Linked DNA regions of Coturnix japonica. The protein of the gene in region 6 purifies or fractionates together with the protein of the main gene of each other region. This does not show direct contact. Links are inferred from orthologs where the notes say so. Each region holds a gene or a part of one and is shown on either strand. Other genes may lie near its edges.

Region 1 (4,945 bases), on a different chromosome or scaffold from region 6:
TAGAGGGTAGCATGGTCTAGGAGCCTCCAATAAACCCTTGTAACAATTTTAGTATGTAAGTACCTGAAGAGAGTTTCATGAAAAGCTGTTTCATATTGAAATGCAAATGCTTCACAAAACTGGTTTTCATTCATCTGCACTACTGAGCAACCCCTTACTGCAAAAATCCCACTGTCCATATAGTCTGCAAGAATAGTACAACTTATTAGCTAATGTGGATGACTTGTTGAGCAATGCATCCATTTCCAGATTTCAATTCTTTTTCACTGGTAGACAATATAATGTTTTTTGTAAGAGTATTAGAGAGATGGTAAGCATTATCTTCCCTTGCAAATGCAGCAGTTATAACAAAACAGTGCTAGTGAACGAGATCCAAGTAGAACTGATTAATTTATCCTTCCCAAGATAAGCAGCATGCTGAATCAATAACAGTGACAGCTAAGATACCCAAGGAAGCCCTGATACTTCCTGCTAAATATCTGAACTGCTGCATTAGTCATGCACAGAATGTCCATTTAAGCATGAAATTCAGCTCTCTCTCTTCTTGCACAGAAGCTACGAGAATTAAACTGCACTGAAAAATGCTTAAGCTTAATTGCTTGCCTGCTGTGGTCGACCTCAATGCAAACGCTGCAGGTCCAGTTTTCACACCTGGAGCACAAATACCAGTGATTCCAAATACAGTTGGCAGTAAGTCATTGTACTTTCCAACCCTCTCCTCCCCTCCCCCCAAAAAAGAGAAAAATAGAAAAAAGGAAAAGGGAGGTGGTGGGGAAAAATAAACAAACCAAAAAAACAAAGGGACAAGGGGGAATGGTTTTAAACTGAGACGGGAGGTTTAGGTTAGATATTAGGAGGAAGTTTTTCACACAGAGGGTGGTGACGCACTGGAACAGGTTGCCCAAGGAGGTTGTAGATGCCCCATCCCTGCAGGCATTCAAGGCCAGGCTGGATGTGGCTCTGGGCAGCCTGGTCTGCTGGTTGGTGACCCTGCACATAGCAGGGGGTTGAAATTCGATGATCACTGCGGTCCTTTTCAACCCAGGCCACTCTATGATTCAGTGAAAAGGTGGAAAGAAATAGCAAGATAAGTTGATTTAATGTGGGCTGGTTCAATAACAGTGAAGATTTCTCATTGAAGAGAAGTGTTTACTTCTACTGTCAGGCAAAATGACATTGAAAGGCTCTACAGAGGGATCTGGATAGGCTGAATCAGTGGGCTGAGACCAACTGTATGAGCTTCAACAAGACCAAGTCCTGAGTTTCAGGAAGGGAGGTCACGGTGAGGTGAAGTCGGCCTCTTCTGGGTCACAGTGACAGGACAAGAAGGAATGCCGTCAAGTTGCACCAAGGGAGGTGTAGGCTGGGTATTAGGGAAGAAGGAATTCCTCTCACAAAGAGCACTAGGCGCCTGCACCGAAGAATCGCGTCCGCCCACCGCCAGGGGGCCCCATTCAGCAGCTCCGCCGGCCGCGCTCTGTGGTGAGGCGGCTGGAGCGGCCGCCGCGTGTTGATGACGTCCCGCAGCCGAGCTCACGCCGTCCGTTTGTGGGGTCTGCCATGAAGGAGACGCCGCTGTCCAACTGCGAGCGGCGCTTCCTGCTGCGCGCCATCCAGGAGAGGAAGGTGCGGTGCCGGACCGGCCTCCCCGTACCCTGCCCCGTACCCTGCCCCGGGCCCTTGTCGCCTCAGCTGCGGGGCGGCGCGGCCCGGCGTGGTGCGCTGACCGCCCCGTGTGTGTGTGTGTGTGTGTGTCTGTCCCCGCAGCGGCTGGACGGGCGGCAGTGCTACGACTACCGCAATGTGCGCATCTCCTTCGGGCCCGAGCGCGGCTGCTGCGTGGTGGAGCTGGGCAAGACCAGGTAGGAGCGGCCGGGGGTCTCCGGGCTGGGACACACACAGCTCTATGCGCATTCACCGCCCTCAGGGTGAAGGAAAGGAAACTTGAGCTGAACAACGAGAAATGTGTTAGAAAACATCCACATGGGTCTTTGTTTTTTCTTTATATGTTTTGTTTCCATCGTTAGGTATTTTCTTGCTAAGCTTTCTGACCTAGCTGCTTATTTCCTTCTGCAGGGTCCTTGGGCAAGTCTCATGTGAACTCGTTCCCCCGAAGCCAAACCGGGCTACAGAAGGGATTCTGTTCTGTAACCTGGAGCTCTCACCCATGGCTGCACCTGGCTTTGAGCCTGGCAGGTACGTCGCTTTCTTAAGAAGTCCAGGCAAGGATAATGGTGCAAGTGGTAGAAGTGCCGCTCTGCTACACAGAGGCTCGAATCCCAGGGGTTGGACTTGATGATCTCTAAGGTCCCTTCCAACCCGCACGAGACTGATACTGTGATAATGTATGAACCACTGCTTGGACACGCACAAGTATGTACCATAATGATGTTGAATTTGGGTTGATTTTGTTTGAACAGGCAATCCGAGTTACTGGTCAAAGTGAACAGACTGATAGAACGATGCCTGAGGAATTCCAAGTGTATAGATACAGAATCCCTCTGCGTTGTTGCTGGTGAAAAGGTAGGAGAAAACTACCAGTCTCAAACCATTGCATAGAATCACTGAGCTTGGAGAAGACCTCCAAGATAATCCACTCCAACCATCCACATAGCACCAATATTTCCCCACTTAAGCCACGTCCCTTAGTTATACATCTAAATATTTCTCGAATTCAATCACATATAAACATGTTTAATGATTTTAAACATAAAAGTCACTTTTTCAGGTGCTCTGTCTTGTTTTGAATACTGGTCTTTTTTCATCCTAACTCTTAAATCAAATACTCGAGGAATGTAAGCTGCTCTTTTTTGTGATTCAAAAACTGGAAGTGTCTTGGAAAAGCAGGAGCTTCTGTGGAATTATGTTACACATTGCCAGTTATACATGTTTTCCCTCAGGTCTGGCAAATCCGTGTGGATCTGCACCTGTTAAATCACGATGGTAACATTATAGATGCTGCCAGCATAGCAGGAATCGTGGCCCTATGCCATTTTCGCAGACCAGATGTTTCTGTGCAAGGAAAAGAAATAACGGTGGTAAGTCATACCAGGTTTACCTCCATAAGTCGTAAATGGGAAGTATTATACAAGGAGAACCAAAAGAGATTTTTTATTAATATTTAGTTGACTAGACTTTTTTTCTTTGCTTTCTGTTTCTTTACATTGCTCTTGCACAATGTAAGTAACCAATAACCAATTCTTTTCTCAGTACTCTCCTGAGGAACGTGATCCTGTGCCCCTGAGCATCCACCACATGCCTATTTGTGTCAGTTTTGCCTTCTTCCAGCAGGGGTAAGAATTCTTCTTAAAGCTCTTGACAGAAACAGCTTATTGTCAGTTGTGCAAAATTATTGTTACAGCACTGTGAAAATACTCTTGTTGACAGACAGCTTTCTTAACACGTTCATACGTGTTCTCCACAGTGTGATAGTAGCCAGCAGCTTGCACAGATAGGAAGAAAACTGTTACAAGGGAGTCAAAGTCAACCTCAAACTTCTGTTGTCTTATGTTAAAAACTTGGTTCTAGGACGTATTTGTTGGTGGATCCAAATGAACGAGAGGAACGTGTGATGGATGGTCTCCTTGTAATTGCCATGAATAAACATCAGGAAATTTGTACCATCCAGTCTAGTGGAGGGATTATGCTATTAAAGGATCAGGTAAAAGTCAAGGAAAACATTTAAGGATCTGTTCTGTGGTTCTATTTTAAGTCATGTTTTCATGATTCTAAACTGTTACCGTGTATGTAACGTACAGGTTCTGAGATGCAGTAAAATAACAGCTGTGAAGGTTGCGGAAATAACAGAATTAATTCAGAAAGCTTTGGAGAACGACCAGAAAGTGAGGTGAGTTTTTGGGGAAGGAATGGAAAGTACTTTGAAGAACTGATTGAAAAGTTAATGCCAGTTTATAATGAAACAGCAGGTTGTTTCTGTTTGTAATCATTTCAAGTATTACAAGTATGGAAATGCTTGCTATATTCATATATGTGAAATATCCTGAAATAACGTCTGTTGTTGGATGACTAGGAAAGAAGGTGGGAAGTTCGGCTTTGCAGAATCGATATCAAATCAGAAGATCACTGCCTTCAAAATGGACAGTGCTGCTGTAGATACCAACAATGTGGAAGAACAAGCAGAAGAAATCATAACTAAAGCTGACCCTCCTTCAGAAGTGTATGTTTTCTATTCGTTATTCCAGGGGGGAGTTTTCCTCTTATCTGCACTGGCCCTTCTAGAAGCTAGTAAGACACTCAAGCTATCAGATGGCTCCGGGTGGCCCTATAGCCTTCAGAGGAAACAGCCTTACACTGATTTTAGTTCTAACTGCTTTTAGCTAACTGGATTCTTAACAGAAAGTGCAAAACAGGGCTGAAGTAACTAGTTGTCTCACCACGTGGAGAAAGATCACGCTTTCTTAACTTTCATTGAAGGCCTGGGGAGAAAAATTACAGCTGAAAATCAACTATTTTGCCTTAATACAGTGCGATTACTAACTCCAAGATTTTCTTTACTTCAGTTTTGCCAAACCAATATTGCACACTCCCGGCACAGCCCAAATTGGGGAAGGAATAGAGAATACCTGGGGAGAGCTGGAAGAATCGGAGAGGGAGGAAGCAGCAGAAGAGGAAGGTGAAAGCAGCGCTACTGCTTTTGAATGCCAGAGGGCAGAAACAGAGGATACAAGTATGATGAGTGAAGCCAAAGGTACTTCCCTTGATACCACATACGTTTATTTACATTGCTTTAAGTATAAATTATTAAAGAATAGAAATGTGCAAGATGTTCTGTCTTCCTTAGGACCATCGTAGTCACTTTCTTTTTGGACATTATACTTATTTGGCACTTTCATTTCACCTTTACATTTGTTTTCTTCAAAAGAAAGCTTGTTTTCTGTAGTATATTGAAGAGCTCCAGAATAAGCATTAGTAGTTATAAGCCTGT
Region 2 (4,149 bases), on a different chromosome or scaffold from region 6:
CAGTAGATGGGCTCAAAGAGGGAGTCGAGCACCACGTCGCCGTTGGTGAAGGAATTGTAGAGCAGGGAGCGGAGGCAGAGGTGCCCATAGTGCCACAGCTGCCCTGCCTGCCGAACCAGCTTAAAGCGCCGCCGCCGGCCCAGCCGCAGGCACTTGAGGAGCAGGCGCATCACCGCCGCAAACATCCGCTGCCGGCTCCTCATCCCTGCTGCTCCGAACCTGCGGGGAAGGGGCTGGATGTGGGCAGATGCTGGGTGTGGGCAGATGCTGGGTGTGGGCAGATGCTGGGTGTGGGCAGATGCTGGATGTGGGCAGATGCTGGATGTGGGCAGATGCTGGGTGTGGGCAGGCCAGGTGTCAGGCTGCACGGCGGGGCAGGGCTCCTTCACCCTGCGCAGGATGCGGAGCAGAAGCGGGTGGCGCTGAGCCCAAAGGGATGCTGCGCTCCCGAGCTCTGTGTGCGGAGGGGGGACACGGGGCTGTCAGGCTCCGCGCCTGACCTCGGGTGCTCCCTGCTCCCATCTCGTCTTTCCCACAGGGGAGGGGGTTGGGGAGCGACACGGAGAGTCTGACTCAGAGGAAACTGGAGACGGTGAGGGCACATGGGGCGAAGAGCTCATTCCAGGGCAGGGAACGCTCCAAACCCACGGGGATCCCCTCAGCAGCCTTTGCTAATGGATTCGGGAGTGAGGGAGCCCGCACAAAACACGTGCCCTGTTCCTCACACCCAGCAGCACCTGGACGGCTCTTCCTTTTGCCTCAGCCCCGGACCAAGCTGCAGAGCCCATCGCACACCGACCCCAGCAGCTCCCCGGACAGTGCCACGCTGCGCTGTGCCAGGCCGAGCTGCGGGCACTCGGACAGCAGAGGGACGCACCGAGCCCTCGTCCTCCCGCTGAGCCTCTTATCCCACCCGAGGGCCGCGATGGGAGCGAGGAGGAACCCGAGCCGGGCCCGAAATGAGGCAAACGATCCGCCGGGTCAGGGCCCCCGGGCCATCAATATTAACGGCACGGCCGGCCCGGGATGCGGCCAAGGCACGAACCGAGCGCTCCGCTCGGCACCGCGCCAGGCAGCGGCACGGCCCAGCGCCAACACACGGCCCGGGAACACAGAGCGAGCGGCCGGCACACGGCGGGACCGGCACAACCGGCACAACCGGCACACGGCGGGACCGGGACACAGCGGTACCGGCACGGCCGCACGGCGGGTGATGAGCTCCCGCTCCCGGTGACCCCGTGCTGGGCTCAGGGCTGCCCTCGGCCGTGCCAGCCGGTCACGCCGCCCCAAGGCCGCGGGCCCGCCCCGCTCCGTGCCCCGCTCCCCGCCCCGCCGCACCCATCCCGTTCCCGTTCCCGTTCCCGCTCGCACCTGCCGCCCGCTCCCCGCCGCCCGCCGCCATGCCCGGTTCCCGCCGCCCTCACGGCACCGGGCAGCGCCCGCCGCCCCGCGCCTGCGCACTGAGCACAGCGGGCAGGGCCGGCACGAGGCGCCGCACTACGACTCCCAGCGGGCCGCGCGACACCGCCGCTCCCTGAGGTTAAAAGAGAACCAATAGGTATGCCGCTTACATCGCGGCCCCGTCGCTGAGAGCCAATAGGAGGAGGGTTCTTTGCGGGCTCACGCGCGACGCTGAACATGGCGCCACCAGCTCGGTACTGCGTGCCCGGTAAGTGCGGGGCGGGCGGCGGGGGGGGACGGGCCGGTAAGTGCGGGACCGGTGCTGAGCGAGCGACCCGCAGGAGAACGGCTGTGCGGAGCGGACGGAAACGCGGCGGGGAGCGGCACCTACGTGCGGAACGGCAACATCTTCGCTGCGCTGAGCGGATGCGTGCGGCGCTGCGAGCGGGACGGGGCGGTGAGAGCACGGCGGGGAACGGGAAACGGGGCGGGACCGGGCTGAGACCGGGTGTGTGTGTGTGTCTATGTGTGTGTGTGTGTGTCTGTGTGTGTGTCTGTGTGTCTATCCATCTGTCTGTGCCCCGCAGCTGCCCGTGGTGTCGGTGGTGCGGGATGCAGAGGCGCAGCTGCTGCCCGACGTGGGCTCCGTGGTGACGTGTAAGGTGGGTGCCGCTGTCCCCACGTGTCCCCGCGGCCGGGGCCGTGTGCTCGGCTCACGGAGCTCCGGACGGACGGCGGCGGACACTCAAGGAGCCGCCCGGCCCGGCCCGGCCCACGCTGCGCGGGCGCTGAGTGCCCGCCGCCCGTTGGTGCAGGTGTGCAGCATCAACTCCCGGTTTGCCAAAGTGAACATCCTGTACGTTGGCTCCACGCCGCTGAAATCCACCTTCCGTGGCACCATACGGTAGGGAAAGGGCAGGGGGCACACTGCGCGGTGCCTGCCTGCTGCGAGGACAGCTGCGTGGATGCATCTAGCGAGGCCTGGCTGCCGTCCAGGGAGGCCGGGGCAGCTCCTCCTGGCTCTCTCTGGTATCACATTCCTGTGTCTGCTTTTCTAGGAGGGAAGACATTCGAGCTACTGAAAAGGATAAGGTCAGCGGGGCACTGCTGGGTACAGTGCTGTTACAGCTTCCCCCTGTCCAGCTCCCCTCGTGCTGCTGCCCATGGGGTGCCTATCGAGCAGTACCTGCGCTCTCCATGCACTCCTGTCCACTCCCTCCCACGTAGGTAGAAGTCTACAAGAGTTTCCGCCCCGGTGACATAGTCCTGGCCAAAGTCGTATCCTTTCCCATCGCAGTGGGAGGGCCCACGGGCCTGGAGGGTTTGTGCTGGGCTATAGAGGCAGGGAGTCTTTCCCTTAACACAAACCTAACCAGATCTCGCTGGGGGATGCACAGTCCAACTACCTGCTGAGCACGGCAGAGAACGAGCTGGGTGTGGTGGTGGCACGCAGCGACGCAGGTAGGAATCCTCATCTCCATGTGAGGAACAGCCAGTGCAGCATGGGGAGCAAACACCCTCCTTTCCTCCCACTGCTGAGCCTCAGGGGCTGCACGAGGAGGCTTTGGGCTGCTGGGGCTGGGCAGTGTGACAAAGCAGGAAGGGATCTGCTAACTGAGGATGCCTGCAGGGGTGCAGATGGTGCCTATCAGCTGGTGTGAGATGCAGTGCCCACAGACGCACACCAAGGACTTCCGTAAGGTGGCCCGTGTGCAGCCTCAGTTCCTGCAGACATAGCAGCCTCCTCAGGGGTACAGGGACCCCAGGAAAGAGAGCTGCTATGGTGGGGTCCAGCATCTTCCATACAGCAGGATGGGTTTTGTATTTGTGCTGTAAGTAATAAATAAACGTGGTTTTTTTGAGAGCTCTGTGTTCTGCTCAGTCACTGCCCGCAGGGGTTGCTCTGGCTGCCTGTAGCCCTTCTGCTCTGGAGCTGCTGGAGGGGGCTGTTTCTCCCATCAGTGTGGGAGTGAGAAAGTCTGTTCCTGTCCTGGGGAGCAGCGAGGCTTTGAGGCTTAGTGGTACATAGCACCATCTATGGCTGCTGTGCTCATCCCCAGGATGGCTTATCACCTCAGGCCATACATGCCCTTTGTTAGGCAGAGGTGTGGCACAGCCCAGAGCCCATAAAGCACTGCAGTGAATCACTCTTTGCAGCGAGGATTGCAGAACTGTGCTTTGCTGTGCAGTCTGAGCACCTTCTGCACCCACAAGTCAGCAGCAACTTGCGCATCACAGACACGTGGTGGTGCAGGAAATGCGGTGCTAGGCAAAGTGGGAGCTCCACGTGGCGCAGTGGCACAAGGAAACGCTGACATTTAATTATTGCATATTCATCTTTTATTGAACTGGAACAAGACAACTGCTACCGCTGGACAGTTAGATTGACCCAGTGCAAGCCCAGACTCACTACAGCAGCAGTGGGGGAGGCTACAGTGACAGTGCCAAGTAGACGTTTGTGGGATGGGTACACAATGGCATCTAACCACCTCCATGATGCAGGACTAAAGTTGGCTTTGGCTGGAGGAAGCACATGGCAAATACAGATCCCAGACAACACGCTCCTTCCCTTGTCCAAAAGCAATAAGTTAAAGCAGTGGAGCTGGGTTGGGGTTTGCAGGTACTACTACTGGGTGCTGTACTACACACAGGAGCGTGCACCACAGTACAACACATCTGGTGTCTAAGTGTCCTAGTAAAAACCACACAGCCACGAGGGGACCTGGGCACCCATCTTGATCACTGCCC
Region 3 (4,829 bases), on a different chromosome or scaffold from region 6:
TTACCCCAAGTAAACATGTACCATTGGAAGCTTTACTATTAACTAGTAAAAACAAATATACCCAGCTGATAAACTGTCCGGTTTTGTTCTGGAAAAACTTCATGTCAAAACTCACCATTAATTGAAGCTTTTCAAGCCCATCTCCACACCAGTCAAAATCCACAACGATGGACAGTATTTCATAACCACAAGGCATCCTAAATACGGTAGGACCAGCTGAGTGCATAAAGGGAACAGAAGAACCACCAAAAACATCTAGGACTTCATTTAGTGTGACTTTTAATATAAATCTGAATACAAAAATAAGCAGAACATCCTACAGCAATCGCAAACCTTCAGACTTTCTTTTACTCAATTCCCCGACAGTTTGGCGAGTGCTTGTTTCCTCTGCTCTGCAGTCATATGCTCACAAGCTTCTAAAATATTTACTATAATTAAAGTCTGTTGAACTGTTTTTGCTTTTACCCATATTCTTCCATTCACTCCCAGCACCAGCTCTACTGGGTACAGTTGGGACAACTCCTGAATTATTTCACATTTGGGAGCCAAGAGTCTGTAAAATAAGATTAGAAAGGGTTGGAGGAAAAAGTGAATGCTCACGTTCGCTAAGTATTACAACATTATCAGCCAGCAGCTAAACAGTAGCACTGGAGTTACAAAAGCAACTCCAAAAGTTAAGACGATTCAAATTGCATATCCAGCCATATCAGAATTGAAGTTCTCCTCCCAAAACACATGCACCTAAAGAGAGCACCTGTGCACTGTAGCTGTTTTCCTAATTAGGCAGAAGAGTTACCAAGAACAAGGCTGAAAAACAACTTAGCTGTTCACACTGATAAGACACATAAACCAAATTACTTACTAAACCCAGGTATGACATAGCTACTTGTTATCTCCAAGAACAGATGCTCACCTCTCCTCCCTCAACATCAAAGCAACAACTAGTCTGACCATCTCTTATCACTATCAGCTGGTATTTTATGATAGTCACACACTGTTTCTAGTTCAATGTACATGCATCCTTTCCCCAGTAAAACTGGCATAAATGCAGCACAACAGCCACATAGCAGTTACTGGCTAGTTCACACTACTTGAATTGGAGACAGCTGTGCATATCCTACCTAAAAACAAAATGTTACTCTTCCAGTTTCAGCTGCACACAATTGTCTCTCCTTCAGTGCCTGCTAAGATGCTGTTCTGGTTTTAGGAGAAAAACAATGATAATACACCTGTATTTCCAGCTGTTGCTGAACACTGCTGTACAGAGCCAAGCATACTTCATTTTTCCCCACTCTCTCTTACCATCCTACCAACTGGGGGATGGGGAACTAACAAGGATCTCGGAAGCACAGGGCAGGGCACCCAAGCAGCTGGGAAGGGATAGAAATAAGACAGCTGACTTTAAGTGGCCAAAGGGATATTCCATACCATATAACATTACGCAAAAGGAAAGTTTTGAATGGGACATGAGTCCTTTTTTCTCTCTCTCCTGCTGCTTGGGGCCTAGCTGGGCATCAGTCAGTGGGTAACTTCCTATATACATTCACATATATGTATTTCTCTTAAGTAGTATCTTGTTTTCTTTTCTCTTTGTAAACAGTTTTATCTCAACCCATGAATTCTACTTTGTGTCTGTTTTTTAATCGATTCTATTCCCAAGCCTATAGGGAAAAGCAGGACAGGGTCTGGAGGGAGAGGAGCTAATGACTGTGTGTTGTTTAGACACATGCTAAGTTTAACAACCCCAACACTTTAGTACAACTGGTTTTCTTAGTACTTACTTTCTTATCAGACCTAAGGAAACTTTAAAGAGGAAGCCGTCTTGTCCAATTACTCCCATTCCACTTGCTCTTCCACTGCTGTCTATACAGACCATCTCTGGTTCCATGTCTTTATTTGCTACAAGGAACTGACCATAAACAAGGTCTCCCACCTAAAGCAAGCAGTGCCAGAAAACAACAAAAAAAAAGAATCATTAGAGAAGATAACAATGCACATTTGTAAGAAACATTCAGTCCATAAAGAGACAACAAAACAGTTGTAAACTGGATGAACACTTGGACAAGAACCAGCAGCGTACACTTGCAGCTCAGAAGGCCAATGGGATCCCAGGCTGGATCCAAAGAAAGATAGCTAGAAGGGTGAATGAGGTAACTGACCCCTTTATTCTGCCATTGTGAGGCCCCACCTGGGGTACTCTGTCCAAGCCTGTGGCCCCTGACACAAGACCATTGGAATGGGTCAGAAGAGGGCCGGAGCGCCTCTTGTGTGAAGAAAAGTTGAGAGAGTTAGGCTTGTTGAGCCTGGAAAAGGCTCTGGATAGACCCCATCGAAGCCTTCCAGTGCTTATAGGGAGTGACTTTTTATATAGCCTAGTAGTGACAGGACAAGGGGGAATGGCTTTGAATTAACAGAGGGGAGATAAAGGTTACATGTTAGGAAACAATTCTTTACTCAGAAGGCGCACCAGAAGCCATACCAGTCTATTCCATTTAAAATCACAGCCCATTTTACACCATGCTGACAGTGTTTCTGGTGAACGCACATATCACAAAACAACTTGTAAATGCTACAAAGCAAACCCTCCTCTACCAGCACCAGCGTTCAGAGGATGCTTTAAAGCCTCAGGGTGGCCCCTTGGGACCCACGTTACTGCACGAGTAGCACCTGCCACTGTTAACCGATGGGAAAGGTGTAAGGTCAGAAGTGAAGAAGCACAAAAAGCTCCGGAGAAAACAGAAAAAACTCACGGCCTCATCGGGACACCCCGTACAGGCCATGACAAAAGCTCTGTGAAAAAAGTCACGTTCCTCGTTTATATGGTCCGAGTGGTAAAAACACCGTTTACAAAGGCAAGCTCCCGGCGGGCAGCGTTACCTGCACGTTGGGCCTGTTCCTCTTGGTCGCGCCCTCGAAGGCCAGGTATGACAGCGAGGCCTGCTCGCTACCACCGACGTCCAGCCGGAACACGTCCCCCACCTTGCCCGTCACGATGCCGATAACGTGGTCTCCCTTCACCGGCACGTACTACAAGCGGGTACAAGCGATCAGCGGGCTCGTCCCGCACATCACCGCCCCCCGCCGCCCGCTGCCGCCGTACCCGCTTCTGCTGCGAGTCCACCCAGTAGGCGCCGCCCGCCGCCGCTCCGCCGCCCGCCTGCCGGTGCCGCAGCAGCCCGCACTTGGTGACCAGCAGCCCGCCCGCACAGCGCCGCAGCCCCGGCCCGCACAGCAGCCTCCCCCGCGGGGCCGCGCTGGTGCCCAGCGGCAGCTTGTCGAGGTCGGGCTCTCCGTGCTCGGGCAGCAGCAGCACATCGCCGGGCAGCACCACTTGTCCCACACGGGTCTCCGCCGGCACGCCGCCCCCACCCGCCATCGCGTGCGGCCCTTCCGGCGGAAGCAGACGCAAAATGGCGGCGGCGATGGAAGGGCCGAGAGCGCAACGACAGCGACACCGCCCGGCCGCCTGACGCAGGATCCAGCCGGGAGCGCGGTTGCCCGGTAACGCGGTTGGACGCGCTGTGCGATCGGGCCGGTAGGAGCGAAGCGGTAGGGAACGGGGGACAGCACCGCTACCACCTTCTCATATTAATTGCCTGATGAAATGAGCTTTGATAAAACCACCAACATCACACTGGGGATGTGATGCAGTCAACACTTCCTCTAACTGCTGTCTGAATTCCGATATCGGTGACTAATATCTGTCGGTTTGTCAGTAGGTGAGAATGGAGTCTCAATACCTGAGGAGATGTCTGGGAAGCTGCTTGAAAAAGGGTCTGGCGGAGGTTGTGGAGCGTCGGCCCGCTGACCCAATAGAGTACCTGGCACACTGGATCTACAACTACAAGAAAACACTAGAAGAAGAAAAGAAGGTGGGTCTACCTCGGGCAAAGCATTTCATGTCAATCTAACTGATGCTGTATAATCTCTCTTTGTGTTTTGTTTCCTTTTTTTTTCATTGATTTCTTGTTACCTCTGAAATAGAGAACGTTGGAAAGGGCCAAACTGGAAAAAGAACGGCAGGCAGCCCTGGAAGAACTTGAAATGTTAAGAAAAATGAAGGAAGAAGAGCTACTGATACAACAGAAACTTGAAGAACAACGGCAGGTTAATAGTTGTTCATAATTATAGTAGCGTGTGATGCTGGGTCAACTTGTAGCTCTCACTACAATAGTAGTCATTATCAACATAGAATCATAAGAGAATCAGAATGTTGGAAAGTACCTACAATTGTATTCTGATCTTGAAAGGGAAAAGATAACAAAAAGTGCTTAAACATTGCGTTTTGAAAATATCATTATTTCGAAAGGAATTAGAAAGGACAGCTGAGCAGCTGGGGAGAAAAACTTACCTGCTACATGACAAGATGTTACCAAAAATGAAGAGACTAAGCTAAAGAGAAACTAACTAAAGATATGTTAGAAAATTAGATTAGGATAAGTAGACTGTCTTCTGCAGTTAACTATCTTAGCTATTTTTTCCTCCCATAGAATCTATATGGATTAGTCTGTCTATAATAGATGCTGTGCAAAGCTTCAAAGAGCCTAATCCAAAGTATAGGAGATATAAATATTAACTACTAAAGAGCACGAGGAACTGAGTATCAAAAGCATATACGCTATCTTCAGCTGTCTTCTCTTTACAATAGGAACAAGAACGTGAGAAGATGGAACAGCAGAATAAAGAAGAGAACATGCAGGAGCAGCAGAAAGATCCAGAGGTTTAAGCCAAAGCTTAGTCAAGATAAAGAAATATTGTTAATCATCTCTCTTATTCAGATCCAGTCCCTAAATACAGAACACAAGGCAGAAGCCTTGAACACAACAAAA
Region 4 (5,005 bases), on a different chromosome or scaffold from region 6:
TTGCCTCTGGGAGTGCTGGGAGGATTAGCTAATGCCCTGTGCAGCCCTTTGAAGATGAAGAATACTCTCAGTGCTTAGCATAAATGTTAATAATGTCTTGATTGTAACTAGACATCAACCATCCTGCAGAAAAACGAGGAGCGAGAGGCCCAATTCAGCAGAACACTTTCCCTCTTAATCCAGTCTCTGTCCTTCACCCTCTGTGCAAAAAGCACATTTTGCTTTTATCTTTTAAGTGCTAATACCTTTGGTCTAGTAATCCCAACTGCAGCCCCCTTGGCTTATTTCAATGTGCAAAAACAGAGATAAATGCCAACTGCATAAAGCCTAAAATAGAGCCCTGGAGTGAGCAGCAAGCCATGGGGACAATGACCTGCAGAAGAAGAGCGATAAAGTTTGAGATAGAAGATTTTTCTTCCCAGAGCTCAAGTCCCAAGCAACTGGTGGGAGAAATGGATTCATGCAGTAACTGTGGAGAGGGACAGCAGCAGTTCAGAGGGAATGTGTGCAATGAGGAACTCTGCTTTGAGCTCCCATGTAGGAGCTAAAATTCTTCCTAACCTACTGACAAGGGCTATAATATCATACTCTACTGCAGAGCCTTTTATTCCTTAAGGATCTCCCCCCAAACCTCTATCCTGATGCTATCTCGATATAAATACAAAGAAATTCTACTGACATGGATAGAACTGCACTGTATTTAACAAGATCTGACCCTCTAACAGACCACTAAGCACAAGGGTTAGAGACTCATACAATCCAACCAGCACAAAATGAGACTTTTGAACAACATACCTTCCCATATTTCAGACTCCTGGTGTGCAGTGATACAGCCCCATCTGAAAACACAGACTGGACCTCTGCCTGTCAGTGCCTCTTAAGGAAACAGACTTCTTCATGCTGCCCTGTACCAACAGCCACCAACAGAGCTTTCCCTGCCTGCCTGAGGTCTGGCTGTTCCCCCTTCCAATCCCTTTGACTCTTCTGTCCAAGTACAAGCAGTGAAAGGATACACTGATGAGATCCCCTTCCTGCAGATAGTCCCTCATTGCAAGCTCATCTTCTGCTGATCTCCTCCTCTAAAATGGACAATGCAAGAAAAGTTATGGGTCACGTAGAATGAGAAAACATTAATTAACAGCAACACAAAGAGAGGATCATCTCCTTAGGACACTGTGCAAAATGCATGGGAAGTCAAAACCACACGTGTGCTAACTGCAGGAGGGGCTCAGAGCATCCTGCCCTGCAGCACTGTGGTCCTTCTCTGCACAAACTGTGCTCACCAGTTCCCCACCAGGTAAATTCATAGACGACAACAACAGGACTGAATCCAGCCTGGAATTGGTTTCCACTTTCCATCGTTTCTGTTGAACCTGGTGAAGAAAAAACAACGTTAATGTACACTCAGAAAATGAACTAAGTCTCTAATCTAAGTGGGAAGTCATGCAGATGACTGACTCTATAGCAAAGCACTGTGACAGCCATAAGAAATGACCGGCCAGTGCAGCAGAGGCTGTCAGAGAAGGAATCATTTCAGTTGGAAAAGAGCATTAAAAGCCACCTGGTACAACTCCCAGTAATGAACAGGGACACCTGCAGGTCCCTCAGGTGCACAGAGCCCCGTCCAGCTCTGATCCTGAATGTCTGTGGGGGTGAGGCAACCACAACCACCCTGAGTAACTTGTGCCAGCGCCTCATTGCCCTTATTGTAAAAGACATCCTCCTTATATTGAATGTAAATCTCTCCTGTTGAGACTGAAACCATTTCCCCTTGTCCTATCACAACAGACCCTGCTAAGAAGTCAGTCCCCTTCTTCCTTACAGAAAGATACTTTAGATAATGACAGGCTGCTCTCAGCTCTCTCCAGCGCCATCTCCTCTCCATGCTGCACAGCCCCAGCTCTCAGCCTGTCCCCGCAGGGAGCTGTTCCATCCCTCGGATCACTTTTACGGTCATCCTGTGGATGTGCTCCAACAGATCCATGTCCATCCTGCACCGAGGATGCCCCACCAGGACACAGTGCTACAGATGGGGCCTCACACGAGGACATGCCCACCTCCCTGTCCCACAGCTTGCACTGCATGCATCCAACCCTATGGGTCCCAGCCATCCCTATGGGGCTGAGTGCTCCCCTATGGGTCCCAGCCATCCCTATGGGGCTGAGTGCTCCCCTATGGGTCCCAGCCATCCCTATGGGCGCCAGCCATCCCTATGTGGCTGAGTACTCCCCTATGTGTCCCATCCATCCCTATGTGTCCCATCCATCCCCTATAGATCCCATCCATCCCTATAGATCCCATCCATCCCTATGTGTCCCCCCCTTTAGTGTGGGGTCCCTGTTCCCCCTATGGGCGCACTGGACGGCAGCTCATTACAATGGATCCGGATGGGCACTACGGTTGCCACCAACGCCCTCCTGCAGCTCTGCATGGCACAGTGCTCTCTGTGCTCCAGCATCTCACTCTTTCTTTGTCAGACCTCATCACGTTCTCCCGTGTCCTCCCAGCTCCTCACCTCCGTGATCCTCCCGACCACGATGTCTCCGACCTCCCCGTTGTACCTGGCGGTGGGACAGAGCACAGCATTAACACAGCATTAACACAGCATTATTACACACCATTATTACACAGCATTATTACACAGCATTAACACACATTACACAGCATTATTACACAGCATTAACACACATTACACACCATTATTACCCATCCCATTGCACATCCCGTCCCTATATTCACCTGCTCTGTAGCGGTGTCACACACACCAATTTATTCACCCTCTCCACAGCTCCAGCCACCGAGGCGACGAGCTTCTCCTCATCCACATAGGTGCCGTGTCCCCTGCAGACAGAACGGACGCCATTAGAGCCCAAACCGCGGCCTGCCCCGTCCCCTAATGCTCCTCCATCCCCACCTCATGTATCCCGTGTCCGTAGTGATGGTGTCTCCGGGTACAACCAGGTGTTTCTCGCCGCCCCGAGGCCGGCTGGGCCCCACGGCTTTACGGATCACGGGCAGCCGCATGGACACCGCCGCCATCTTGGTTGAAGGCGGAACTGCGCCTTGCGGTTACACGTGACTTCCGGACGCCATCTTGAATGAGGGCCGTAACGAGAGTCACGTGGGTTGGGTACAGGGCGGCCATTTTGGTTCCTGGCAGGGAGGTTGGGGGGGGGCAGCGATGTGAATGGGGCAGGGGGTGCTCCCCTATGGGTCTCATCCATCCCTATGGGGCTGAGTGCTCCCCTATGGGTCCCAGCCATCCCTATGGGGCTGAGTGCTCCCCTATGGGTCCCATCCATCCCTATGGGGCTGAGTGCCCCCCTATGGGTCCCAGCCTTCCCTATGGCGCTGAGTGCCCCCCTATGGGTCCCATACATCCCTATGGGTCCCATCCATCCCTATGGGTCCCATCCATCCCTATGGGGCTGAGTGCTCCCTATGGGTCCCAGCACCCATTAATGGGGTTGGACCCACAGCCCCCCCCTCCCCCCAATTTAAACCACGCTCGGTCCCGAATCGCTTTTTATTTCGAGTACAAGAGAGAGGTACAAATGTATTTACAGCGCTGTGCGTATACAATCCCATAATATAGAATATCAAAGGCTTGTAAATAATGTTTTACATAAATATTTACAAAGTTAAAGTGACGGGTTATTATATATTTTCCTTCTTGGGTTTTTCTTTTTTTCCCTTTTCTGGCAGTAAAACGCAGTGTTTTTATTTTTATGAGAGCTTTTATACACCTCGGATTTAGGATGAACACAACAACCTTCCAAGTTAATGGGAACAGCCGCTCCGGGCTGTGCGGTCCCCAGAGGGCAGCAGAGCTGAGCGCTCCCTTAGGGCTGGATGGGGCTGAGCAGCTGCTGGGCCGTCATTGCATGGTCCAAGTTGGAAGGGACCCCCCTCAAACCCCTCCTAAAGGCCGCCTGGTCCAACTCCCTACACACACAGTGCTCAGAGCCCCGGGCAGCCTGACCTCGGGGGTCTCACAGCCCATCTCAGCCTCCCATCCCTTGGTGGCATGTAGACAAACCCCATGGCACAGCTGGGGATAGAGGGAGGAAAACCCAACTCGGCTGAACAGACAAAGCTGATGGTCCCAGTGATGCTGTGCCACGTCTCCTTGCTGGGCGCTCGCTGGCACAGAGGAGAAAGGACAAAAGCAATTTTCCTTCCTATCAAATGATCCATAAAACCCAACCTTGATTCATCCAGGTGCAGCCGCAGCTCCGAACACACCAGCAAAATCCACACGGGATGTCCTGCCGTGCCCTCCCATTCTCCCTTTCCCACCAAACCCTATGGAAACGCTGATGCTCCCAATGCAAACTCAGAGCAGCGGCTCTGCCACGGGCTCCCAGTTCCTCACACATCTCAATGCCAGTCTTTGCACGTGGGCAGCGACCATCCAGAAACGTGCTGCTGCCGTTCCATGGCTCACAGCACCATGGTGGGGATGTGATGGGCCAAGGAAGCGGGATGGGGCACGGGTAGGGCAGGCGAATGAGCCTGCAGGGATGCATTGGGGGGTCGATGACGGGCGCTTTTCTGATGCGCCCGTAACCCGGCCAGCTGGGAATAGGCACTTTGACACACCTGGCACTTATAGGGCCGCTCTCCGGTGTGCAAACGGACGTGGTTACGCAGGGTGGAGGATTGGCTGAAGCGCCGGTTGCAGAAGCGACACACGAAGGGCTTGTCCAAGGTGTGGATGCGCATGTGGGAGCGCAGGTTGCTGCGGGAGTTGAAGCCGCGGTGGCAGATGACGCAGCGCATGCGACCCGTGGTGCTGGCCCCGGTCTCCACTGCATGGAAGTCCTCTGCGAGCAATACAAGGGGATGGACGGTCAGGTTGTGCCCTGCTCACACCCCTTTCTGTGCCATATATAACCACCCCATGCTGCACACTGCACCCACAGCAATGTTGTGACCAGCAGCTCTCAGTGGGGATCTGTGGCTGTAACAAACCTGCTCCAGTCCCAGCTTCTCCCCCAGCCCC
Region 5 (5,064 bases), on a different chromosome or scaffold from region 6:
TACACTTTTTACACTACTTTCAAAGACAAAGTAAGTAAAATCCTTTGAGATACAGTCTTAAGTATAATCTCCATAAATTAATTCTTTTCTTCCCCCATGTCAATACTTGGAATGCTTCATTACTGAAAGATACTGTCTATGTTCAATCACTATAAAGAAAAAAAAAGGCAATTGATACTACAAAGCTGAAATGATGTTTCTGAACATTCAGCACAGCTAAGACAGTAAAATAAACTGCTGCTGTTACTCAGACACTAAGCAGGTTAGGGCAGTGAAGGTTCACATTTCAGATCTGATTAGGTTTTTTATTTCAAATGTGAGAAGCAAAGTGTATATGCATACTGCTCCATTACCTTTTCTTCTACTATACTAACCAGTCAACAAAGAATTCCAGATAACCTTCATCTGGTTTCTCTAACTTCGGTGTCCCCATTTCAGCTTTTACACCAACCAAGATATCAGTGTGTCCCTGTTAAAACAAAAATACATCACACAGTTAGAACTATGGGCAAAATACACTCAGTTGAGATGCCTACAGCATGCAGACACTACCATCTATTCTGTTGTCTTTGCTAATTGCTCTACTAGAGAATTGCAGAACAGAAAGGCTTTAGGAGAACAATTCTGTGCCCACATATCAGCTTTCTTTGTGTATATAAGACAATCTTAATAGCCATACCTTTTTATCATTGCAGTTCTGGATCAGTTATTTCTGCAGAATGTTTATAATACCGCCAAAAAATAATTGTTTTCTTTACAGTCAACACATGCCAGAAGTAGTTTTGCTTCACTGTAAAGGAGCAGAATTATTTTTTCCAGTGACAGGCACAACAGCATCTAACACCCAATAGCAGATTAGTTCAGACTGAAGGCCTTTCAGGCACTCCACTATAAATTTAGCTCAAATGCATTAAGCTAACTTGAATTATTCATATATCTTGTCATTATTTCCTCAACCTATCATGTCAATTAGAGCTAAGCACATACATACATGCATAGGTCGCTCTGAAAGTAACGTCTTCTATTTATTTCCACAGAAAATATAAGAGGTGCAAAGAGCAAAATAACATTATTTGATTGAACAGATTCTCAGCAACAAAACCTTATTAACATAGTCACCATCACTCTGCATTTTCACCACTGATGAACAAGAGACTGCATGCTGCACTCATAAAAATCTGCACCAGCAGAGGTAACCCACTGTTTCATAGCTATGACTGCACCACTGCTAGGAAAGCATTGCCTGAGCAGTCTATTTTCCATCAAGCCCAAAGAGGTGGAAGACAGAAGGCACCAAATCCACACTACACAGTGGGTGCTGTAGGACAGTCCAGACAAATTTGGCAACGTGCTCCAGGGTCCTGAAACTGGTATGGGACTTGGTGTTATCGCATTGCAAGAGAAAAGGTGTCTTCTTCTCTGCCTGACTCTGGAAGCTCAAGCCTTCAGCTTAGTCAGTGTCATGATGTAGCAGTCAGAGCTGATGGTTTGTCTGGGTTTCAGGAAATCCAAAAGGATCACTTCTTTCCTATCCCAAGAGACAGTTCACAATACTTTGCCTGCTGAAGGCTATCTCTTGAACTTTTTCTTCAATAGGGAATCACATGTCACCACTCCATGGACTGCGTTTTCTCACCGGTGCGTAGTGGTGACACCACATCTCATCATCACTACTGATGTGATCCTGGAAACTGTTGCCTTCAGCCTTGTATTGGTTCAAGAGATCCTGACAAACTTATAACTTTGAATCCCCCCTGTCGTGCAAGTGGTAGAAGTGCCGCTCTGCTACACAGGAGGCTCGAATCCCAGGGGTTGGACTCGATGATCTCTAAGGTCCCTTCCAACCCACACCAGACTGTGATACTGTGTGATATACAGTATTCTTTCTGCTCCTCTGTGAACACTTATGGGAGCCACCTGGCATGCATTTTCTGATATTCCAACATTGTCACCATCATTTCTAATGCAATGAAGCTGATATTCAGCTCTGTACACAGTTCCCTGGTCATAATCTGCTGATTTGCACAAATGAGCTGATCAAGACAGTTCATTTCATCGTATGACAGCCGTGCATGGTCATCTAGAACATGCCTTGTATTTCACAAGGTGAAATGCACCACCACACAGAATCACAGAATTACCTGGGTTGAAAGGGACCTCAAGGATCATGTAGTTCCAACCCCCCTGCCTAGCAGGGCCACCAAACATACGCCTTCACTAGATCAGGTTGCCCAGGGCCCCGCTTCACTGTGCTCACGTTCGCTGTTGGGTCTCCATCAGCATTCAGCATGCGACAATGAATGCCAACAGGGACAATCGTTTCAACACGACATAATTCAATACCACATCTTTGCATTTCCAAGTCAGACACCATTCTGTCAGACTGCACATCTGCTGTCATCAGTCACAGGGCAACACAATAGAATGAAATATTGTTGGGAAGGTTCAACCTCTACTACCACACCACCAACATCTGCTTATGATACTGTGGGCCAACATCATAAAATAGGAGGGGCTGTTTTTGGAGCAACATATTAGACACATATGAGGAGACACACATGGACGTATTTACAAGCAGCAATTATTTATCATAAGCCAAGCGAAACAAGCCAGTTTTATCAGCAATGTAGACGACTCCTGAGCCGTTCACCTACCAGCTTCACTCTCGCAGATCCACTCGTGTTGGACACCACATCTGTCTCTACTTCTGCACACCTGTAATCTTCACAGCCACGGCCATCCACACGGAGGTCCTCCTAAACACGACAACCAACGTAATCGCGAACATAAGGAACCTGTGCTTTTCAAGCTTCCCGTGCCGAATACATCACCAAAGATGACAAGCAACTATTCCCTACCTGGACGCCGTGTATGATGTACATCTTCTCCGCGTCGCTCAGCACTACGGACGCCATGACACCCCGCGCGCTGCAGAGCACTTCCGCTTCCGCTTCTCGGAAGGAGGCGAGCTCTGCGCCTGCGCACCGCCGCACTTCCGCAGGCGGGAAATGGCGCCGGTCGCCTCAGCGCCTTGTACAGGGCGGTGGGGTCGGCCCTGTGTGTGTGTGTGCCCTTAGCTGAGGTAAAAGTAACCTGAGGGTTGTGTGCCCCGGTGGCGCAGTGGTAGGAACGCCGCCTTGCAACACTGGGGCCCGGAGTTCGAATCCCCCCTGTGGCACAAGTGGTACAAGTGCCGCTCTGCTACAGAGAGGCTCGAATCCCGGGGGTTGGACTCGATGATCTCTAAGGTCCCTTCCAACCCACACGAGACTATGAGACTATGAGGGTACCCGAGTATGAAGCTGAGGTTCTCCTGGCTGTCAGACCGCGGAGAAATGCGGAGTTTTACCCGAGACATCGTGCTGGTGGTGTGGGAATGCGATTAAAGGCTCCAGTTTGACACTGCGTTGTAATTGAGGGGTGTTTATTGTGGCAGCTTCCATTAGCTCACGTTGTAGGTGCCATACGCTCAGCACGGCTCTCCTGTATGTTGGTTGGTGCGCTGAGTGGTGCCCACTAAGGGCACAGTGAGGTTTGGGATGTTAGGGGGAAGTTCTTCACCAGGAGAGTGGTTAGGCCCTGGAACAGGCTGCCCAGGGAGGTTGTGGATGCCCCGTCCTTGGAGGTGTTCAAGACCAGGTTGGATGGGGCCCTGGGCAACCTGATCTAGTAAATGTGTATGTTTGGTGGCCCTGCCAGGCAGGGGGGTTGGAACTACATGATCCTTGAGGTTCCTTCCAACCCGGGTCATTCTGTGAGGTTATGGCGCTGGTGCTGCCTGGCTCCCAGCTGCACCCACAGCGCTCAGACACAAGGAGGGGCAGCTTTCCTTCCTTCATTCCTTCCTCCATGTCTGCCATCCATCCCAGACTGGAAGCGCAGCCAGCAGCTCCTCGCTGCTCACAGGATGCGGTGTCGTTTATAACAAGGACAAAGCGATGCCTTCTGCCTCATTTTAGCCAGCTGGAAGTGGAAAAAGACCGTGATGGAGCCGCCCGGCACGCAGGGGCTCACGCTGCCCGGTGAAGCTGCAAGCAGCGCAGGCAGCGGCCGCTAAATCCGCAGGTGCCGGCTGCTGCTGCCCGGCTTTGCGGTGCCGAGGCCCGGGGCGGGGCCGCCGGCCGCCAGCCGCCACTTCCTGGTTCCTCCGTTGCCGCCCCACCTCCTCGCCGGGATCGCGTAAGGGGACGGCGCTTGGGGAGGGGGGGGGAACCGCGCTCCGCCGGGCCCAGTGCCGCGCGCGGGGCGCCCGCTCCGGCGGGGCGGATGGGAGGTGGCGGCGGGCGGCGGCCTGCGGGTAGGTGGCGGGGCAGAGCCACGGGACCGCGGGGCTACGGGTGGGGTGGGGTGAGGTAAAGGGGGATGCGGCCGGGAGCGCCTTCCAGAGCGGGCCGTGACATGGGCTGCGGGGAGGCCCACGTTGCCCTCCCTCCCCTCTTTCCCTCCTGCCCCACCGCGGCGTGTCCCGGGTACCACGCGGCTCCGAGCGCTGCCTCCGGCCCAGCGGGGCTTGTCACCCCGCGGGACGCTGAGCGAGGTGCTCGCTGGGGTGTACGGTGTGTGAGCTCCCTCCGGGTGGTTATCGGTTTGGAAAGCGGCGGCGGTGCGGTGTGCCTGCGGGCGGGGGGCACCTCCAGCGTGATTTGGCACAAGCAGCTCATCGCTGTGTGTGTTTCTGTTGCCATTTTTCATTGTAAGAAGTGTGGTTGCAGACAAGATTTTGTGTGTTTGTCGTTGGAACTGCTTGTAAGGTGACAGACGACAGAGCCAAAGCGTGACTTAACTCCAGCTGTTGGAGCAGGTTGGAGGAAGATGAGTACCCCATCCCTCAGCCAAAACACCTGCCGTGCCCCGGCTGAGCCCGTGGCAGTGCGTATACAATCCAAGCAGAGATGGCTCTGTTGTGATGAATCCCAGCATAGGCTCACTTAGGGTATTTGGTTCCTACGCACCTCCAAGAGCTGCTCTGTGTGATCAGTGTGGTTTAAACCCATGTGATGCACTATTTCATGCAAACATGCTTGTGCGGCCTTGCTGTTAGATCACATCTGTAATGGGGTACAG
Region 6 (4,961 bases):
TTACATGTCTTGCTCAGTTTGCTGCGTCCTCTGCTGGTGAATGAAGTCTGCCAAAGCAGCTGGGACATCCAAATCTTCAGGGCGTTCCTTTCGTTCCCGTCCGCTTTTTGTGAGGGCTGAACAACCAACATGGAACAACTGGACCAGGTCCCAGACATTATATGCTCACAGTCTACTAATCTCTCCCCTCCACCCACCACAGCAGCCTTCCACAGTCACAAAGCATCAAAAACTTATTAATTTAGACCTACAGCTTTTACTTCCAGCTAGATTTGCATCTGCAGCTTCAGTGATAACCCAGTTAATGGGTCTGAACAGGATGCTGTTAAGAAACATGCAAGGTGGCTCTGCTCGAGAGCTTGGAAAGAGACTGGGAAATCTTCAGAAAACACTTTCATTCATTCCCGTGCTCTAAACTACATCCACATCAGTGCAGACTCGAGGTGAATCAGCAGCAGAAATGTGACACCTTGCTGAGATGAGATGTTTCACTGGCAGCTTTGATAAAGGCAGATCTAATCGTGTATCTCCTTTTCTAACTTATTAGGAAAAGGTATCTGTAAAGTCAAGCAGACTTACAGACCAAGCAACAAAACTCCTCCTGCCAGGGGGACTCTCATGGAAATTCAATGGTGGCAAAGAGAAGCAGCAGAATATCTGTTGGGAACAGATTAGTTACTGTATACCAACAAAAAGATGTTGTATGCTGACCAAATCTTACACTGCACATACATAAACAATGGAGTCACAGAGCAATCTCATCCAAATAGTCAACATCTGCTCCTGCTTGCTTTTACAGTCAATATTTCCTCTTCTGGATTGTCAGGACAGATTTGTGTCAAACACTCTCAACTGATTACCCATCAACAACAAAAAAACTTACCTTCAGCCAATGGTTTCAAAGCATTTGGCTTGATAAAAAGCTTAGGTACAAAGGGAGTGTTGGAATTGTCAATCTTTTCTCGAAACTTAAGCTGTGGGCGAGAGATATTCTTGGCATGGAGCAGTCGGAAGGTTTCAGACTTAGATCTTTTGTGGTATTCTCCTGCCTATTAAAAAGAAAGCAAACCAACATGACTTAACAGACATCCAGAGCATCTTCCATTCACTGACCCCAGTACTGCGAGAAAAAGGAGGTGAGTGAGGACATATGAAAAAGTCCAAGGGAACATTTAACTACTAAAATCCACTGGCAAACTGCAGTACCAGTGCTGGGAAAAAGAGCAGCAGCCTCACCTTGCGGTTCCAGCTGGAAACGATCGTCTGTGGCACCTGCAACCCAGCAGGAAGGACAGGCTGCTGGTTTTTGTTCACTCCTGCTGCTTCATCCAGTAAAATACCCTAAATTCCAGGAAAAAAACAACAAAAATGAAAATCAAACACCCGCTCAGTTACTGTACTATGCTAAACATTAAACATAACTGCAAAAGCACTAACAGTAGAATTATTTTAACAAAAAGCACTTGTGGTACCTGAATACCTTATACAAGTAATGTTAAGGAATGATTTGCTCACCACTCTTTCAAGAATGATGTCATTGGAGTCAACCAGCATATCAAACTTATCTTCCAGCTCCGTGACTTTGCTGCGGTCTTTCATGTGGCTGCGGCAGCCGTGGTACTGCATCACCCTGCTCATGCTTGCAAGAGAACAGCACAGTTATTATGGATTTAAACAATAATAATAACAACAATAATAACAATTAACTGAACACTGAACCATGCAATTCTTCTCAACTTTCTACATCGCAGAAGTTTGAAAGCAGATCAAATGTAATACTTATAATAACATACAAAAAGCAAATGTATGAAACACCTACATGGTGCTAAGAGTTATTTAGTACTAATAGGACTGATTTCTTTATGAAACAACTTTCTAGATCACAGAACTGTTTGGGAGGGACCTTTAAAGGCATCAAGTCTAACTTTCTTGCAATGAACAAGGACACCCACAGCTCCATCAGGTGCTCAGAGCCCCTTCCAGCCTGACTTTGAGTGTGTCCACAGATGGAGCATCACCACCTCATTACTCTCACAGTAAAAAACCTTGTTATATCCAGTCTAAATCTCCCCTCTTTTAGTTTGAAACTCATTCCTCTTGTTCTATCAGATCTGTCCCCTTTTTTCTTATATACCCCTTTAGATACTAAACGGCTGTTCCCAGAGCATTTCACAACAGTCCCCACTCGCAGTTTGTTCCCATCAACACCATTAAAGGCAACTCAGCTAAAATTCGACACATGACCTAAAACATCCTTTTTACCACCAACCAGCCTGGAGATTCCATAGAATCCCCTGTCTGGGCCTGGCAGTTGCCGGGGCTGTGATGTCTCCTTACCATTGCAGCAGCCGATGTCCCTGAGCTGCACAGTACGCCCTGAACCCAGGGAAGCTGCGGTAGAAGTCGTACTCATCGCCAGGCTGGGGCAGCCCGCTGGATGCCTTCGTGGTGGCCACCATGGTGCCGAGGGCGTGCTGTGTGAGAACACCGTGTTAGTGCATTGCCTGCCCTGCTGCACACTGTGCTGACAAACCTCCATCCCTGTGTGTGTGCGAACAGTGCGGTTACATCCAACACATCGCAAGGCCTTGGTTTGTTTGGGTGTTTTTTAACACGACTAATCACAGAATCACACACAGAATCACAGAATGACCCGGGTTGGAAGGGACCTCAAGGATCATGTAGTTCCAACCCCCCTGCCTGGCAGGGCCACCAAACATACACCTTTACTAGATCAGGTTGCCCAGGGCCCCGTCCAACCTGGTCTTGAACACCTCCAAGGACGGGGCATCCACAACCTCCCTGGGCAGCCTGTTCCAGGGCCTAACCACTCTCCTAGTGAAGAACTTCCCCCTAACATCCAACCTAAATCTTCCCTCTTTTAACTTAAAACCATTTCCCCGTGTCCTGCTATTATCAGCCCTTTCCAAGAGTTTACTCCCCTCCTGGGAGTAAGTTCCCTTCAGGTATTGACTAAGTTGGCAGTTGTTTCATTCACACCATCTCATCAGGTTAAACAGAGTAAAGCGATAACAACACTACGCCTGTCGTGCCAGGATTTACGTTTAGAGAGAGGTTTATCAGCACAGACGCAGATCTGGGCTTTATTTCAATGCCAACCACATCACGGCACCGAGTGACCGCACGGCCCGGCGGGAGCTGTAGTGCACGGCCCCTTCCCGCTTCACCCCGCCCCGCACCTTCACGAAGGCGTCCACGTCGTCGAATCCCGGCAGCACCGTGGCCGTGCTCCCGTCTCTTTCCGTTTCCACGGGCGGTCCCCCCTGCCCCCCTTTGCCCCCTTGGGCCGCGCTGCTCCCCGCTACCGCGCAGCCGTTCCCCTCAGCCACGGCGGCGGCCATCTTGTCCCCTCAGCCACCAGACGCACGGAAACTCTCGCGAGAGCTTCAGGGCCGAGAGAGGAAGATGGGAGATGGGCAACGCATGCGGGCGGGTAGACAGTACCAAGCCTTATACATAGCGCCCCCTAGCGGCTGGCGGACCGCGCTGCATGCGACCCCCACCCACCCCAAGCGACCCCTCCTGCAACCTGTTACCTGCATCCCTGTCTCTTCCTAAGAGCTACTTAGGAACAAACAAGAACGCAGCCCCACGGTGCCACGTTTTGCTGTAATTTATTGGCACAAAAATATCCAAATACAACATGGCATCTAAACATGGCTACTCTGTTGTATTTTGTGCATTGTTTTTATTCATAATTCACGACTTCCTCCACTCCCATGTTATTATTATAACCATTATTTCATTTCAAGTTATGACCAGCTCTCCCCCTTTTGCCTCCTATGCCAGTTATCACGTTCCCCTTTTAATCTGCACACAGAGCTCCCCAGCGGTGTCTCATTGCACTGCTCGATCTGCACAGAGGCACCTGGTTATGGTCAGATGAAGGTCTGAAATTCTTAACATCTGCTCCAATATTCCATTCAGGGCAGCAATCCATCTGCAAATGATTCATTTACTTTGCAAAGTAATTCCAAACCCGTATATAGTTATATTTACCAGTTCCCCAAAGACCCAGTGGAACCATTGACACCTGCAGTACAATCAGTCTTCACTGTCCTTGGAAACCCAAATCAGCTATTGTGTTCCAGACAGCTCGTGTTTTTTTTCCAATAGCAGCTATAAATTGGCTTAAACCAACTTGTTAATATACAATAACTCTTTCCATTTACAGTTCAAACTATTTGACAAAGGCTGGATATCAGTCCAACGTTCAGTTTGTGTTTGTAGAAGAGCAAGTTTGGAGCGCAAAAGCCTCCAGAATAAAAAGGCTGTGGATACTTTGGGATCTTCTGTTACCAGAAAGGACACCTAAAAGGAAACAAAAATAGGGTGGTGATGCTCAGTGCAGCTTCACAAAGGCAGTGCTGAGAAGGACTGAGACTGCCAAGGCTCCGTTTAGAAGACATAGTATAGGAAATAGTATAGGAAAAGTTGGCAGGTGATCCCCCCACACACAGCTTAAATGCTTAAAACTAAGGACTGTTTCCTTAAGCATAGTCTGATGTTATCTCTCTCAAATGACAAATGTGCAACTAAATCATTTATGTTTGCTGCAGAATATGGAGATCTTCACTGTAACTGACATCAGTGACCAACATATGCCTTACTTCCAACACTAAGTGTTCAGGTTGACTGCAGCTTTAATGCTCTACATTCCCATTACTCCTTATCACAACTTACATTCTTACAACGGTCTGTCTAAGGGATCTCTGCCATAAGCCTGCAAAATGTACGAGCTCATATGCAACATGTGGTAAGGCTTCCATACGTAACTAAATACACCAGAACTAATGTTTTTGTTGGCTTTCCCTCTGCTCAAATTATTAATTCCAGATCACTCAGAGAAGAACTTTGCACTGTTAGCTGAATGACAGACTCACCATCCAATGTAGCACTGGCACAGATTCTCATGAGAAGTAGCTTGCTTAATGAGCAGT

Evidence for each region.
Region 1: the proteins of EXOSC10 (region 6) and EXOSC9 purify together in Homo sapiens (co-immunoprecipitation; 7 studies listed by BioGRID and IntAct, with this or other methods). This does not show direct contact. The link is inferred for Coturnix japonica from reciprocal best matches to the Homo sapiens genes EXOSC10 and EXOSC9.
Region 2: the proteins of EXOSC10 (region 6) and EXOSC1 purify together in Homo sapiens (co-immunoprecipitation; 8 studies listed by BioGRID and IntAct, counting the BioPlex papers as one, with this or other methods). This does not show direct contact. The link is inferred for Coturnix japonica from reciprocal best matches to the Homo sapiens genes EXOSC10 and EXOSC1.
Region 3: the proteins of EXOSC10 (region 6) and EXOSC3 purify together in Homo sapiens (affinity purification with mass spectrometry; 8 studies listed by BioGRID and IntAct, counting the BioPlex papers as one, with this or other methods). This does not show direct contact. The link is inferred for Coturnix japonica from reciprocal best matches to the Homo sapiens genes EXOSC10 and EXOSC3.
Region 4: the proteins of EXOSC10 (region 6) and EXOSC2 fractionate together in Homo sapiens (co-fractionation; 9 studies listed by BioGRID and IntAct, with this or other methods). This does not show direct contact. The link is inferred for Coturnix japonica from reciprocal best matches to the Homo sapiens genes EXOSC10 and EXOSC2.
Region 5: the proteins of EXOSC10 (region 6) and EXOSC7 purify together in Homo sapiens (affinity purification with mass spectrometry; 6 studies listed by BioGRID and IntAct, counting the BioPlex papers as one, with this or other methods). This does not show direct contact. The link is inferred for Coturnix japonica from reciprocal best matches to the Homo sapiens genes EXOSC10 and EXOSC7.

Annotation. Positions count from the first base shown.
Region 1 is NC_029519.1:48,281,857-48,286,801, reverse strand, and holds the start of EXOSC9 (exosome complex component RRP45), read left to right. Parts: upstream 1-1,490; 5' UTR 1,491-1,560; coding exon 1,561-1,626; intron 1,627-1,767; coding exon 1,768-1,862; intron 1,863-2,076; coding exon 2,077-2,196; intron 2,197-2,420; coding exon 2,421-2,523; intron 2,524-2,900; coding exon 2,901-3,038; intron 3,039-3,210; coding exon 3,211-3,293; intron 3,294-3,528; coding exon 3,529-3,661; intron 3,662-3,758; coding exon 3,759-3,847; intron 3,848-4,030; coding exon 4,031-4,177; intron 4,178-4,520; coding exon 4,521-4,708; intron 4,709-4,945. UniProt on the Homo sapiens protein: Non-catalytic component of the RNA exosome complex which has 3'->5' exoribonuclease activity and participates in a multitude of cellular RNA processing and degradation events.
Region 2 is NC_029521.1:19,502,053-19,506,201, forward strand, and holds EXOSC1 (exosome complex component CSL4), read left to right. Parts: upstream 1-1,638; coding exon 1,639-1,669; intron 1,670-1,742; coding exon 1,743-1,858; intron 1,859-1,988; coding exon 1,989-2,063; intron 2,064-2,216; coding exon 2,217-2,305; intron 2,306-2,459; coding exon 2,460-2,493; intron 2,494-2,628; coding exon 2,629-2,679; intron 2,680-2,777; coding exon 2,778-2,862; intron 2,863-3,031; coding exon 3,032-3,138; 3' UTR 3,139-3,265; downstream 3,266-4,149. Other genes in the region: palmitoyltransferase ZDHHC16, read right to left, coding at 1-219, 1,372-1,640. UniProt on the Homo sapiens protein: Non-catalytic component of the RNA exosome complex which has 3'->5' exoribonuclease activity and participates in a multitude of cellular RNA processing and degradation events.
Region 3 is NC_029521.1:3,509,083-3,513,911, forward strand, and holds EXOSC3 (exosome complex component RRP40), read right to left. Parts: upstream 3,408-4,829; 5' UTR 3,377-3,407; coding exon 3,101-3,376; intron 3,028-3,100; coding exon 2,878-3,027; intron 1,934-2,877; coding exon 1,782-1,933; intron 554-1,781; coding exon 352-553; 3' UTR 263-351; downstream 1-262. Other genes in the region: DYDC1 (DPY30 domain-containing protein 1), read left to right, coding at 3,726-3,872, 3,985-4,107, 4,649-4,720. UniProt on the Homo sapiens protein: Non-catalytic component of the RNA exosome complex which has 3'->5' exoribonuclease activity and participates in a multitude of cellular RNA processing and degradation events.
Region 4 is NC_029532.1:4,557,571-4,562,575, reverse strand, and holds the start of EXOSC2 (exosome complex component RRP4), read right to left. Parts: upstream 3,079-5,005; 5' UTR 3,040-3,078; coding exon 2,915-3,039; intron 2,842-2,914; coding exon 2,740-2,841; intron 2,562-2,739; coding exon 2,516-2,561; intron 1,374-2,515; coding exon 1,284-1,373; intron 1,080-1,283; coding exon 1,014-1,079; intron 865-1,013; coding exon 796-864; intron 1-795. Other genes in the region: PRDM12 (PR domain zinc finger protein 12), read right to left, coding at 4,444-4,826. UniProt on the Homo sapiens protein: Non-catalytic component of the RNA exosome complex which has 3'->5' exoribonuclease activity and participates in a multitude of cellular RNA processing and degradation events.
Region 5 is NC_029517.1:39,619,451-39,624,514, forward strand, and holds the start of EXOSC7 (exosome complex component RRP42), read right to left. Parts: upstream 2,992-5,064; 5' UTR 2,916-2,991; coding exon 2,859-2,915; intron 2,757-2,858; coding exon 2,655-2,756; intron 470-2,654; coding exon 375-469; intron 1-374. UniProt on the Homo sapiens protein: Non-catalytic component of the RNA exosome complex which has 3'->5' exoribonuclease activity and participates in a multitude of cellular RNA processing and degradation events.
Region 6 is NC_029536.1:3,559,214-3,564,174, forward strand, and holds the start of EXOSC10 (exosome component 10), read right to left. Parts: upstream 3,388-4,961; 5' UTR 3,363-3,387; coding exon 3,201-3,362; intron 2,475-3,200; coding exon 2,338-2,474; intron 1,640-2,337; coding exon 1,516-1,639; intron 1,342-1,515; coding exon 1,237-1,341; intron 1,050-1,236; coding exon 884-1,049; intron 117-883; coding exon 5-116; intron 1-4. Other genes in the region: serine/threonine-protein kinase mTOR, read right to left, coding at 4,317-4,332, 4,905-4,961. UniProt on the Homo sapiens protein: Catalytic component of the RNA exosome complex which has 3'->5' exoribonuclease activity and participates in a multitude of cellular RNA processing and degradation events.